2 linked regions of the Drosophila melanogaster genome follow. The protein of the gene in region 1 interacts with the protein of each later gene in a pairwise test. Each region holds a gene or a part of one and is shown in the gene's direction. Other genes may lie near its edges.

Evidence for each region.
Region 2: the proteins of CG15800 (region 1) and e(r) interact in a two-hybrid assay, tested with the Drosophila melanogaster proteins (one large-scale study listed by BioGRID).

Annotation. Positions count from the first base shown.
Region 1 is NT_033778.4:23,789,976-23,793,248, reverse strand, and holds CG15800 (uncharacterized protein), read left to right. Parts: upstream 1-2,021; 5' UTR 2,022-2,056; coding exon 2,057-2,530; 3' UTR 2,531-2,635; downstream 2,636-3,273. Other genes in the region: sona (sol narae), read left to right, coding at 1,182-1,253.
Region 2 is NC_004354.4:8,904,467-8,908,225, reverse strand, and holds the start of e(r) (enhancer of rudimentary), read left to right. Parts: upstream 1-1,977; 5' UTR 1,978-2,117; intron 2,118-2,235; exon of another isoform or gene 2,236-2,457; intron 2,458-2,637; exon of another isoform or gene 2,638-2,721; intron 2,722-2,841; 5' UTR 2,842-2,847; coding exon 2,848-3,162; 3' UTR 3,163-3,759.

The DNA of each region.
Region 1 (3,273 bases):
GGACTTCTGACGGCCATTACATGGTGGCAAAAGTCGGTTGACCTTTGGCCAAAATGGTTTTCATATTATTTGGAAGATTTTACACTTATTTGTAGCTACACATCTTTGAACGTGGCTTGCAAGCTTCCTTGTCATGCTTCTAAGCTCAAGTTCGTGTTCTAAGTCTTTTGTTTTGAAGCGCTTTCCATGTTTACTCAAAATATCGATTCCATTTTCTCATTTTTGCCTGCCCGCCGGCTGAAATAGGAAAAAGTGAACTTTCCTTGCGCTTACCTACAATTTTCGCCAATCCATGAGCAAGTGTCTTGGGGCATTGGCCTTGGGCTGGGTACCACCCACATTTGGCAATTGCTCAGCCGAACATTTCATTACGATTGATGATGATCGATTCGCCGGCGAGACTTTCTTTCACTCGAAGTGGGCCACGGCAGTTCGGATCTTGCAGCACGTTGCATGCAAATTGTGCAAAACCTTTGGGATATAAAATGTCATGCAATTTGTCGTAAATGTCGCTGAGAAGTTGCGACACGGCAACGTGAAGCGGCTGTTGCTGCTGCTGCTGCTGTTGCTGCCTTTGTTGCCGCTGGTCAGTTCTGTTTGTTTTCTTGGTTGGTTTGTCAAAAGGTTGGATGGATGCTGTTACCCCCTCGCCACGCATCGCTGCATCATTATTGACAATTAGCCGCATTCGATGGCGGGCGGATGTGCAACTGCAACTGCAACGGCAGCACAAACAGCAATCAACAGGGCAGCACAAGATTGTTTTATGCCTCGAGGCTGCTTCTTGGCCTTATGCAATAATTAATTACTCGGCCAGCGGGCCAGAAAACTAGGTTTCTTTCTACAAAACTAAAAGTAAATATTAATTGAAGCAGCAAGCGGCGTTTGAGTTGCAACAACAGATGCTAACTGTACTCGCGTTGCAAACACAGTGCTGTCCATTCGAGCATGACCAGGACGGGTTTGTGGGCAGGGAACTAATGGTCATGTGAGGTGGTAAGACCATTATTTGGGAAATAAATACTTTGCATGCTGGCCCATTGCGTGAATATATTGGCAAATGGGATGTGGCTAATAATAATTAATATTTAATTTATTTAATTTTCGTTTCCCCTTCGTCTCTTTGCAGTTTAAGCATTTTTAAGGATTATATTAGCACCCTAGGCGGCCGAAGCAGTAAGATGTCCTCACCACTGGTCCTTTTCACAGCGCTCCTCCTGGTCAGCAGCACAATATGCCAGGGCCTGCCAGATGTAAGTACCCGCAGATATGATCAATGCCAAGTGCAAGAACTCATCAATCAATCGGTGCGATATAAATAACCTTTGGGCTCTTATAATGCCATAAAGCCAGCTGTTAACGGATAAAAAGGGGCAAAAAAAAAAAAAAACGAACAACAAATGGCCGCCAGTCGGCGGTTTCATTGTCATTCGCATTGTGCGTAATTAGCATTTCGAGAAATACAAAACATTTTTTGTATATTAATTAAATTACAAAACAGAGCAGAGCGCAGTGCCGAAGAGAGTCGTCGTTAGAAATAAAACATTGGCATTGTGTGTTTGCATTGTGGGCCAGGTTTCTGAGTGCGCCTGTATGGGTACGTATCTCATTGACACACAGCACAGCTTTTGTCTCGAGTTTTTTTTTTGCTTTTCGTTTTCGAGAAAAAGCTTGGCCAGCAAAATTATGGCCAAGGTCGGACGTAAAAAGTTCTTGTAATTATTTCAAGTGAATTTCAGACTGTCCCTCCCTCCGTTTGTTTACTAACTTTTATTTTATTATTCTGCTGTCGTTGGCCATTTGCTAGCCGCCTTCTTTACACTTTTCTCTTTCATTGTCACTGCCTTTGTTGCGGAGGTTATGGCTTTGGTTGGTCGCTTGGAAACTTTGTGATTACAGCAGATGGTGGTTTATTTCGATATTGAACTCCAATTTGAACAATTTCCAGAGGTAGAGTAGGCACAAGTTTGTGGTTTAGTTCGTATTGATTGCAAGCAGTAGGCCCTGACTTTCTGATCCGAAGCTCTTAATTTGTTATTCGAAATTCGGTTCAAGAATGGTGCGATTCGAGACAAGGGATGGCCGTACGATAAGCGTAAATCTGGCTCTGCTCGAGAAATCCTTGGTGATCCGGGAGATGTGCCGCGTTGGCCAGGTCCCAGAGGATGAGGACTTCGTCCTGCCGCTGCACGGTATACACAGCAATGTCCTGCTGAAGATCTTGCTGTGGGCTGAGTACCATGAGAAACACGAAGAGCCCGCCTGGGTGGACAGCAAAGATCCTCTTCCGGCCGAGGAGATTGAGCTGCAGATCTCCGATTGGGACAAGGAGTTCCTGCGCGTGGAAATCGATAGCATTTGCAAAATCATGGAGGGCTGCAACTACTTGGACATCCCTTGGCTCTACAAGCTCTGTGCCCAGAAACTCGTCTTCCTCAGCAGCCGAGAGCCGGAGACGCAGTTCAGCGGTTACGTGGAGAAGATCCCAAGATTCCAGGATCATTTCATTGAGCAAATTCAAAAGGAATAGGGTGATTTGTAAAAGGAACGTTTGGGCTAAAATTGTCTCTTGGCTGTATTCAAAACTGCTGAAATTCAAAGAATAAAAAATATTAATAATAATAGTAGTAACTTTCCGTTTTCGTAACCTATTACAATGAAATATTCAAATTTAGCACGAGAACCCACATTTTATTTTCACGTTCCCTTGACTTTTTTTTTTTGGAAACACTTAAATATAGACCATGATATTTTGGGTTCCGATTTTGGAGCAAGTTCGTGTTGGCGGAGACATCGACCCCCTAGCCTTGCCAAAGTGCTGGCATAAAAAAGTGCCCCATAAACGACTTCGTCTCCGTTTTCCACTGCAATTAAAGTTGACACGCTACACCAGCAACAACAAAAGCGACTAAAACAGCCCAAGTAACAACAACTTTGACGAGGCCCTTCAAATCCCAGCCGAGCATGAAAAGAGTGATGTAAAAAACGAACTGAGGTTGGTTCATGCAAAACACCACCAGAATATCGATTCGGATTCGAGTGAGTCAGCAGTCGGCAGTTGGCAGTTTTGTAGGTTTGCATTTTTGCTTTATGTGCTGTCAGAAATGCAAAGGAATATGAGATATCTAAATGTTTGCGGCCTATCAATTGCCGGCCAAATAAATTAAGCCTTTAATTGTGCAATCCAGAATGGTTAGCCGCACGATTTGTTGTTGTTTCCTGGACTCGTATTTTGTTATTTATTTATTTATTTTTTGTTTAGCTACTGATCGG
Region 2 (3,759 bases), on another chromosome or scaffold:
TAAATCAAAGGCTTCACGTTGCGTTCGAAATCGTCGAGGAAAACGACATCGTGGACGGGAATAATGCGGTGATCGGTGACGTTGAAGTGGAGATCGCGAAAGGGGCCGTTGAAGAGGCAGCGCAACGGTGACGTCACCAGCACAGCATCTTCCGGAGGTAACTGTAAAAAATGTACAATATTTGTTGTATTTTAACGTATATCAAACATTTACTGATATAGTTTTATATTAAATCAAATACACCGCAACAAATCTCGTGCAAACATCAGATAAGATATTGATACGATACGATAATTAGTATAATATTTAAACAATGCGCAGTCAGGAGAAATATAGAATGGCTTATCAATTTTAAAATAAAACTAACGGAAACAGTAATATTGTACATATTTCAGTTTCAACTCAAAGCATAAGTTTCTCTGTAGCCAAGACACCATTTGGTAAGTTAAGAAAACTATTAAGTGGACGTTTTTTTTTTTACCTTGATTTTGCCATTGGTCGCCGAGAACATTGAGATTTCGAGATTTCAGCGATAAGAGATGAGCAACAACACAAATCAAATAGAATGCACAAGAAACACAGATACAACACCCACACATGAATGATCGTGCAACGGTGTGCGCAGAACAGTGAAGAGGAAGCAGAGAGACGAAGCAGAGGCGACAAATTGGACACGCGTGCGTCGCGTTGGTTGGATTTTGTGTTTTCTTATTTGACTATTGCCTTTTCGGTGCTACTTTAACGGGTTTCCCCGTTTCACAGCCTTTATCATCTTATTTTCGCAGGGCTTTTTTGCTTTTCAATTTACTGCCTGGGTTTCATTTAACTTCGCTGCTCTTCTACTTCATTCATTATTTGATTTGTTTACGTTGCTATTTCCCAATTTGTTTGCTTCTTTTCACTTCATTTTCTTTCAATTAGGACGCACACAAACACACAGGAAAAAACAAAAAAAAAAAAAGAGAGACACGAACGCCACTTGCACAATTGAAAATAACAACAAATTAATGGGAACGCGCGAAACACGGGCTGCTGCGGCTGCGCCTTCACTTTTCACTAAAACAAAAAGCACGTAAATAATGTTGAGACGAGATTTTGCTTTTTGTTGTTGATTTCTTTGCCGATCGCTCTGCCGCCGCTCGACTGCGCTGCCCGCGACACCGCGCTCTTCCAATTGGTCCAATTGAGATCAAACAGCTGGTGGGCACTCGGATCTTCGATTGCCGCTGTCTGGCAGCACTGGGAACAGTGAGAACAGTGGCCAGACTGCGGAGCTGGCGATGGGCGATAGTTTTGTTTCATTAAAAGTAACTTTTGACTTTATATTAAATACAATACTAAAAAATGTAAAAATATGCTTTTTAATATGCACTTTAAGTGAAAATGATTGTACATTAAGTTTACTTCATAAAGACTTTAATGACCATAATTTGTTGATGGGCGTTAATTTTATTCTAACTTAAATAAACGTAATACCTAATATTTATATGTAATAACAAAATAAAATGAACCTAAATAAATAATGCAATCCACTTTAATTTGACATTATAATTATAATTTTTTTATAAATATATAAAATAAAAATAATAAATAAATAATTTCCGTAGTTATTGTAATGTATTACTATGATGAGTATATGTTAAAAGCTTTAGTTAATTTTATTTAAAAAATCTGAAGACTAAATATGGAATGAATTACGCCAAATGAAATGAAAATATGCATTGAAAAACATGCTTTATACCTAAAGGCGTAATATACATAAAGTGTGCTTTTCAATAAAAAAGTGAATGAACATAATATGGAATCAAATACATATACAAATTGAAATGCAAGTATACATTGATACAATTAAGTATAAAAAATCACAATTGTCATTTAATTTGGTAAATATTATTAAACAATGTATATCAAATAAAAGATGTTAGTATTAATCGATATCTTTCGATTATTTTGTCACGGCGAGGCACGCAGCGAAGCGCTCATCTCTAGCTTCAGCCTCCTCTTCAAAACCCATAGAACTGGCAAAATAAAAAAAAACGAATCAAGCGCTGATTTTACCGAATCTCTTTACTGAATCAGCATATTATCATAGTCCATATAGTCCGGCGTTCGAACGGGTAAGTTGAACACTAAACGGGAGACATGGGAATTATTTAAAATTCGAGAAAAATCGGTGAAAAGGAAGAAAAACAAGTGATTGCATACAGTTAGTTACACACACGCGGCGGCCGTTACTCCTTGTACATGTGTGTGCGTGTCTGTTCGCGCTTCCGAATGTTTGTGTTTTAGTGAAGCGGCATAAGCGTGCATTATCTTGTACAAATGTACGCATTTCTCCATTGCCAACATTCGCTTCACACACAAATTACTCGTTTTCCATGCTGGAAGTGCCATCTTAGTCTATTTCCCAGTTGCAAATTGGAAAATCAAAGAGCGTTCTGCTGGCCAGCATGTGTGGTGCGCGTGTATTGGTGTTGCGGCGAGAGCGCGAGCGAGATGGGGCGATGCGTTGCATGCGGCAACAGCATATCTCTTCCATCTCTTTCGTTTTTGTTCTTTTCCTTTTTTTTTTGTCTTTTTTTTTTTTGCTGACAGCTCTCTATGCTTCTAATAAATATTTATGCACAATTTTTGCAGAGCTGGCGAAGTAAACTTCAACTTCGAGAGTCTCGGAATCTTTCGGACTTTGCTATAGAAAAAACGCTTGTTAAAAAAAAGGATGTAAGTGATGAAGATGAAACGTAATGTAATGAAACGCACACTAGTAACATACATACATACATATCGCTTGAGTACATAGATCACCGCCAATAACATTAATGTTCCATTTTTGCCTTGCAGATCACCATGTCGCACACCATCCTATTGGTACAGCCGGGTGCTCGTCCGGAGACCCGCACTTACTGTGACTACGAGAGCGTCAACGAGTGCATGGAGGGCGTGTGCAAGATCTACGAGGAGCACCTGAAGCGCCGCAATCCAAACACTCCGACCATTACGTATGACATTAGCCAGCTATTCGATTTCATCGACACAATGGTGGACATTAGCTGCATGGTTTACCAGAAGAGCACCAATACCTATGCGCCCTACAATAAGGATTGGATCAAGGAGAAGATCTATGTGCTGCTCCGTCAGGCGGCATTTAGTTCCAATACCTAAAGGGACGGCGATGCGACAAGATACATACATATAAAACCAAATAACACGATGATGCATGCATCAATGCGTGCAACACTAACGACAACAACACGTTGATGTATGCAACAATGCGTGCAATAGCAACTACAACAACAACAACAATACGAGGATACATGCAACAGCGCTTGGAACAGCATCCGCAACGGCCACAACACCATAACACCAATAACACCAACAAGATGAGGAAGAAGAAGAAGATGATGATGGAGTGGTGGGGCATCGATTCCATTGGAGACTTGCTGCTACCGACTAGATCGCCAAATGACAGCAACTTTTTTTTGCAACATAACGCAATGCAAAAAAGGAAAAGGAACACAAAGAGAACGATAAACTGTATAACTTAGAAATGGAAAACTTACTTTAAACGTACTAATATATATATATATATATAAATATATATATAGGCGTATATATATATATATACTGTATATACACCCAACTGACAACTGTGTGTGTTTTTGTGTGTTTCAATGTTTTTTTGTGCGGCAGCCACAGGTGACGGTTGTTCTTATCGATAGCGAACTGTATGTTTGTTTGTTTGTAAAACCGAATGGCAAA